Linked DNA regions of Drosophila melanogaster. Changing the gene in region 1 together with any one later gene gives a genetic interaction. Each region holds a gene or a part of one and is shown in the gene's direction. Other genes may lie near its edges.

Region 1 (3,922 bases):
TTCGATAGTGCACCACTCCCGATTCAAATGCACATCGAAACTAATAAAAACATTTCGTTGATTTGCTGGTGGACTTGAATGTCACCAGCTGCAGCGAATGGGTTTTTAGAAGGGTTGCACCATACTTACTTGAGGAAATCGCCGGCGGAGGGACGCAGGACAATGGCGCACGGATGCTGCGTGGCCCGCACAAAAGGATATGGCAGGCGGAAGGGCAGGAGGAGGAGGCGTGGCCCGGCCCTGTCTAGTTGCGCACTCGGATCCGCATCCCCATCGACATCCCCATGCGCATCCACATCCGCGTCCAGTGGGGCATTGCAATGGGGACAAGTGTGCGGCAAAGTGAAGCAGAAAACTTTCACGTTGCAGTGATGAAAACAGAGGATGCCCGGATCCGAGGTAATTGTGGTTGTACTTGTCGTAGCCAACATGGCTCTGCAAGTGTGGTTGCCTCTACAGTCGCAAAAAAGGATATCAAAATAGAGAATTCACATTGTTTAGAAGTCATTCACTCAGTTAATGTTTATTTCAAGTCTTCGTAACCCTGCTAACTAAATGAGATCTAAAAATTTTTTGACAAAATAATTTATATAAGATTGTTTACACTATTATAAAAGTGGAAAGTACACTGCACCATTTTATATAAAAACAAAGAAAGGTAATACCTTTAGTTCCTTTTCTCTTTGTGTTAGCTGCAACTCTGGTATCCTGCTTTTCGGCTCCTGGTTACTGGACCCCGGATCCCCTTCCTTTGGCCCCCGGCTGGGGATCCTTCGCCTTGTGCCCGTATTATAATTGATACACTTTGTCTATTGTGCCACTCTCCTCGTCCCCGTGGCCAGCTGCCTTTGGTGCTTGTGGCTTTTGGCCAGGCCTGAAACGAAACGTAACGAAAAATTGTTGTAAATAAGCCGAAACCAGACGAAGTTGCGACCAAAAGCGGTTTGCCTGGCACATTCAGGCGGCGAACAGTTTCTGTGGTTAAAAGGGCAAAGGTAAAGGAAGGGGTCATGGTAAGGACAAACAAGGAGTTGGAGCCTTTGCCATATTTGTCATCATTATTATGGCTGGTCATGGGTACCGTGTATTTAAGAGCTTTTCGATTTTTGGGGGCACTGTTCCTGTAAATTCAAAAAATAACCTAATAACAAAAATGAACAATTTTCAATAAAATCGTTATTAGAAACAGTGCAGTACTTCAATTCATTAGATTTAATATATTATTTGGACAGCCCAATGTAGTAAATCCTCCCTCGACAAAGAAACTGATTACCAACCCTTGTTAGCGTGTTTGGGAATATTTTGACTTACCAAAACCGCACCCTCTAACCAAAGTAAAGCTTCTCAATCAATTAAGTTCGTTTCGTAGGAGAGCCACCCCGAAAGGAGCAGTCATATGTTGGCCAGCAAAGAAAGCCGGCTTGAAAGAAAGCGGGCCAACACACAAAAACGTAAACAAACCGGCGAAATGCGAACCCACCACCTGGACAAAGGAAAAATCGGAAAACTGAACGCCACCAAATTGCCCAAAACAAGAAAGAGAGCAAAAGCGCTGGCTGAAGAGAGCCAGGGAAATTCTGTCATCGTAGATGGGAAATGCATAACTCACGACGGAATTTCCCCGCTCGGTTCTGCGGACTCGGCTTTTCGGGAACGATGGCTCTAAGGAAGCTCGAGGCGATCCAGTTGACGGCGAACCGTGCGAGCAGACGGTCGTGTTCCAGTCGCAGTCCCTCAAGGATCAGCTCAGTTAGTCGGGAACCATCATCAGTTGAAAAAGTCCATCATTACCATCGACACAAGTGCAACGGTGTGAAAAACAGAGAAAAACTGAGTGTGTGTGCATTTTCGTGTAAAAACGCAGGATATACCGTCCTAGCCAAGGAAGGATTTAAAAACATAAAACAAAAAATCAAATAACGAACGGATTTTGCTTGTTTACAACTCTTGCGGTCGGGACTTTTACGGATTTTCAAGGGAGTTAGTCGTGTTAGTTTGTGTGATTTTCCGCCCCCGTTCCCTGGGTGTTTGTGTTGTGCTGCTGTAAAGTGGAAGATGCCATGGCAACACATTGCTAATCGATGACGTGACCAAAAAACAACAAAACTAGCACACAGCAAGCGAAGGGAAAAACAGGGGAGTCCCCCGCCTCACACTTGGGATAATGACCATAAACTGACTTGGTATGTGGAAATCAACATAACGATAGCGAAGACGAAATTTTGGCTAACTGATAAGAGTGGCGGCTAACGAAACTCATATTTGATAGCCCCAAATGCCAGAATTTAAGTCTCTTAACTTTTGCCGAATGCCGCATTTCAAGATCGAAAAAGATACGCCAGAACGGAGAGCTGACATTTCGCAAACAAGCAGGAATGTCCGAACGGATGTAATTTATTCCAACTCTTCCGTTTCGGCCCCCATGACCCAATTAGTGGGCGTGGCACTTGTTCAAAATTAAAATGTTTACTTGGCAAACTTGCCAAAATAGTAAGAGAGCTACTACTATTCACGAAAACTTCTGTGACAGATTTAGTAGATAATTTTTTGAAAAGGGTAGCCAAAGACTAAGAAAAATAGAGATTTAAATTTTATCGGTGGCAATTAATAAACTAGTAGTTAATAAATGTGTTTGTGAGATGTTTTCGATATATAAATCGTTTTCCTTCATAAATATTCAAAGTCCTTTGAGCATGAAAACTTGCAAAGTGACCTTTTCTAAACTTCAGCTGCCTCAACAAGTTCCAGTCTCTTTAAAGATAAAAGCCTGCAAAACTAATTCTCAAAGTAGATTGAAAGTTTTGCCAAGAAAATATGTAATTAGTATAACGTAACGGAGAATTTAAATTTGAATTTCTATTAAATGCAATCTGCTTGGAAAATGCCAATATTAAAAAGGATTATAATCTAAAGCAAAGATAAATATTCAATGTTTTGCCAAAGTGATATTCAAACAAATTAAATTTGCTTTACTGATGAGCAAAAAGTTAAATTGGTTTTACTTTGGGTCATGAATAAGCAAAATAAGCTGGCCAAGTAAGATGGATGAAATAAATTGTGGAATTCGCTTAAAGCCTCGAAAAAAAAAAATCGTGGGTAACAAGCAGGATAACAAATGCAATAAAGGAAACGACAACAGGCCTTGGGAGACTCAAAAGGAAAGTAACCAGAGGTAGAGGAAAAAATGGGCCATAACAGCAACAATTTCAGTGAAATCCAAGCAAACTTTATCTCTATGTTGTTTGCCAACTTGAATTAAACACGCCCCCAACACACATGGAAAAAATGTCCGGGAAAATCTCAAAGAGTTGCGAGAAATGAAATTACAACTTGCATCCTTTTTTTTTTTGGCAAAGCACTTGGCCAGGACCTTCAAAAGGAATTGTTTGGCCAAAGAAAACATAGAAAGGCACAGCAACAGAAAGTACGAAAAAATTGTCTGAAATCGAGTTAAGTTTACGCATTTTGCGAGGCATACAAAAGTAAGGAATAGGGTATTTCATGCCATAAGGTATTTCAAAAATGGAGATGCGAAAAAAATGTGTAAATAAAACGTTTTTTGCTAAAGTCCTTTCACTCAACGCAGTCAAAGAAGAAAGGTGAAAATTGTTCAGATTGTCACGAAATCAAATACATCCCGAAGAAAAGTAATTTCATACATATTCCTTTAAATTTAGAACTTTGCTTAAAAAACTTAACGTGGCAAACGAACGTATTTGTTAAGTTCTTCTCTTGAAAAGCAAGTGAATAATTAAGTGCGAGTGGAAAAACAGTTGCCAGTACCTGCCAGTAAGTAAATTTAACGGCAGCAACTGACAGTAGAAATTGCTCAAAATTTCATTGTCCTGCGCTTTCCCCTTTTTTCTTGGTCCTTCGCGTCCCTTTTCCGGAATTCTTTTGCTTGGTCCGCAGCTGGTGACGC
Region 2 (3,922 bases), on another chromosome or scaffold:
CCAAAATGGAAATCAATCGAGTCATTAGAAGGCGAGGGTCGCCACGCCACTGAAAATGCAAATGATTCGAAGTTTTTCTCCCAAGAACCATTGATTGGAAACGCTAGTCGAGGGGCTCCCAATCGCATCGATACGTCTGAATGCGCAGAAAAGATTTACGTGTGACTTCGGTTCCAAAAGCTTGATTATGACCACATATATTTCCATAAACAAAGCGAAGCTTTAGTCAGCGCCAAGCTCGAATTACTGTGTTTGTTTCTTTTTTTTTTTTTTTTGTATTTAACGTTTTCAGTATTTCGATATGGTGTTCCAAACGAGTTTAACGAAAAGACCTCAAAGATAGCCAAGTTAGTTCTTAGTCACTGCAAGGCACAGATACAATTCAACTTCCGCTAACTTTCATCAACAACAATGTTGAATCTGATTAAGATATCATACTACATTATTACAACGAAATGAGTACATTAAATAAGTTGGAGATTACTCCTAACATACTCTAATCCATGTTGTACAATAAGATTTAAAGTAAGCCATTAAAATGGTTTATACATACATATATCTTAGGAAAATGAAAGAGATGTTTAGAGTTACGGAAGTAGGCCTGCACTGCAGAACTCCAGTAGTGCACCTCGCTCGTGGCTAGCGATAATTATCAAGTTAATAACTCAACACTAATTAGTCAGGTGCTTTGATGGACGGTCGGGCTGGTGCGGGAGGGGCGGGGCAATGCGACCCTAGGTCGCGGACCAAAAACAAAAAGCCAGTATATCGCGCCGTCCAATGTGAAAACGAAAGCGATACGATTTTTTTTTGTCGGCGAGCAGGAAAATCGGCCGCTGGATGGGAAACGAAAATCAAAGTCGAGAAACGAAAAGCCCAGGTGGAATGCGGCGGAATGGGAAACTGGAGCTCTCGAAAGCAAACCAAATGCCAGGTAAATTAAATCGCAGCATCGGCGGCGGTAGCAAATCAACTTAATGACGATGGCTGGCAACTTTTCCAACAGTTTTTTCTTCCATTTTTTTTCTATTTTTTGTATTTTATCTGGCGATCGGATCGTGAGGTGAAATGAATTTAAGTTGCCTTTTTTAGGAGCCACAATAAAGGGGCTAAAAAATCGATGAGTGCTCAATTAACTGTTATTCGTAGTACGCCCACACACACACTCACGCGCGCGCACACATACAGATGCAGATACACTTGCAAATAAATAAAAATACATATGTATTACCTTTTTTAGTTGAACTTTTGGTGGCTTTTTGGCAATTGTCTCAACAAAACAACATCGTTTTCGCAATTGGGCCACTCCCACTACGATTTTTCGTTGCCAATATTACAATCCGGGCTTTATTTAGTTGCCCACCACTGTTAAATACAATTTACTTTTTGCAGTTATGTCAACTTCTCTCTTTCAGCGCGGCGTCCTTTGTTGTTGTCGTTGCAAAATTGTTCGTGTAAATTATGTACAATGGTGGTTGTTTCAGGTTGCAGGTGGTCTAAAACACTCGCGTTCGTTGGGTTTACGTGGTTTCGATTGCACTAGGTGCCGCACGCATAATTTGCAAATTGCAAATCGTCGTTTTCGTTTGTAATTTGGCTATTGGCTGGCTTTAACACGGAGAAAACTTTCGACGTTTCTTGTTGGTTTTCTTATAATGGTTGGATCGGCCAGTGTGTGCACACCGCGTCAAAAGTAAAACTCGGCGAACAGTTACTCGCATAGGGTGACCATCACATGGATGGTCATACAAAATAATGGTTACTACTGCAGGGCTTTGCCTGCAAATGCAGTGACATGGTCTGCCTAAGAAAGTAACAGTTCAATCACTGCTTTGCTGCCTGGGCTGCCAGGTAACAAAAAGTTATTAAAAACACAACTACTTCTCCTCTTAAGTTATTTGCAGCTAAATGGCAGAAAGTCTTTTATTTTCTACATCAATTGTAGACATTCATTTTACTTTAAAAACTATGTCCTTAAAAACATTTCTGGAATATCGATAGTTTCAGTTGACTTGGCAACCCTATTGCTGACGCCGCAATCAAAGGCCAACAAATTTGTTTACATCCAAAGAAATGCTAATAAATCATTTAATAGTCGTATTATTAATTAGTTTGGTAGGAACAGGAGGTGCAGAAGATGACGGACTTTGCAGTGCCGATCAAAAATCCTGTGCACAAAGTGAACCCGACCAAATAAACGAGGATGAATGTAAGCAACTTGTTGCCGGCTTCGATTAATTAATTAATCAATTAATTTAGTTAGCTTCAAGATACGTCGCCAGATCGAAAAAGCCAATGCCGACTACAAGCCGTGCAGCAGTGATCCCCAGGACAGCGACTGCTCCTGCCACGCAAATGTTCTGAAACGGGATCTCGCGCCCTACAAGTCAACAGGTGTCACCCGGCAGATGATCGAGAGTTCAGCGCGTTACGGCACCAAATACAAGATCTACGGACATCGCCTGTACCGGGATGCCAACTGCATGTTCCCAGCCCGCTGTGAGGGCATTGAACACTTCCTGCTGCCGCTGGTGGCTACGCTGCCCGACATGGACTTGATCATCAATACCAGGGACTATCCGCAGCTGAATGCGGCGTGGGGTAACGCGGCTGGTGGTCCCGTCTTCTCCTTCTCCAAGACAAAGGAGTACCGCGACATCATGTATCCAGCGTGGACATTCTGGGCCGGAGGACCGGCCACCAAGCTCCATCCTCGTGGCATTGGACGCTGGGATCAGATGCGCGAGAAGCTGGAGAAGCGAGCGGCAGCTATACCCTGGTCACAGAAACGCAGTCTGGGCTTCTTTCGCGGTTCACGCACCTCGGACGAACGTGATTCTCTTATTCTGCTCTCGCGCCGCAATCCGGAGCTAGTCGAGGCTCAATACACCAAAAATCAGGGCTGGAAGTCGCCTAAGGATACACTGGACGCACCGGCTGCTGATGAGGTGTCCTTCGAGGACCACTGCAAGTACAAGTACTTGTTCAATTTCCGCGGTGTGGCCGCCAGTTTTCGTCTGAAGCACTTGTTCCTCTGCAAGTCGCTGGTCTTCCATGTGGGCGACGAGTGGCAGGAGTTCTTCTACGACCAACTAAAGCCCTGGGTGCACTATGTGCCGCTCAAGAGCTACCCCAGTCAGCAGGAGTACGAGCACATCTTGTCCTTTTTCAAGAAAAACGATGCGCTGGCCCAGGAGATCGCTCAGCGTGGATACGACTTCATCTGGGAGCATTTGCGCATGAAGGACATCAAGTGCTATTGGCGCAAGCTGCTCAAGCGATATGTGAAGCTGCTGCAATACGAGGTTAAGCCGGAGGATCAACTTATTTACATAGGGCCTAAAAAGGATGAGCTGTAGCGAAATGAAATGTTATTGTGTTTAAGCATTTCTCATTTTGTATTAAGTTGCTTAGAGCAGCGTGAATCTCTCTGTCCGCATTCCATGCATTTTTGATGTCCAAGATTTAGAGAACAACTCGAATATTTTCCTATTTATATATATAGCATTTATACAATCTTTATAACAATCGAAAGCCATTTGTTTTAAGACTCAAAGTTTAAAATATATTTGGAAGAAATATGTAAATTCTCTTTAAATTTTAATTATGACCCAGCCAAGGATATGCTTTTTAGTTGGAGCCCTAATCCTCTCCTGCACTTGCGTTTCGTGCTCCAAGGACAAATGCGCTGTCAACGAACACAACCCAAACTCAAATAGTTAACTATATAGAATATAATATAATATAACCTTTTCAAGATTTGTATCCTTCAGCCAGCTACGACTTTGTGCCGCACATCCTGCACGCCCTGGCGATCCATCGACCCTGCGTAATCGGTGATCCGAAATGCCTCTGCCATGTGGCGACCATTCAAAGGGATTTGGAACCGTATGTGGACAAGGGGATTACACCTGAGATGATG

Evidence for each region.
Region 2: of eys (region 1) and rumi, changing one enhances a phenotype caused by changing the other (phenotypic enhancement), as found in Drosophila melanogaster (one study listed by BioGRID).

The regions. Positions count from the first base shown.
Region 1 is NT_033779.5:2,309,997-2,313,918, forward strand, and holds the start of eys (eyes shut), read left to right. Parts: upstream 1-1,683; 5' UTR 1,684-2,183; intron 2,184-3,922. Other genes in the region: CG9967 (uncharacterized protein), read right to left, coding at 130-431. UniProt on the Drosophila melanogaster protein: Essential for the formation of matrix-filled interrhabdomeral space: critical for the formation of epithelial lumina in the retina.
Region 2 is NT_033777.3:22,748,676-22,752,597, reverse strand, and holds rumi (rumi), read left to right. Parts: upstream 1-2,000; 5' UTR 2,001-2,073; coding exon 2,074-2,209; intron 2,210-2,259; coding exon 2,260-3,359; 3' UTR 3,360-3,584; downstream 3,585-3,922. Other genes in the region: CG31139 (uncharacterized protein), read left to right, coding at 3,607-3,718, 3,774-3,922. UniProt on the Drosophila melanogaster protein: Protein O-glucosyltransferase. Catalyzes the reaction that attaches glucose through an O-glycosidic linkage to a conserved serine residue found in the consensus sequence C-X-S-X-[PA]-C in epidermal growth factor-like repeats.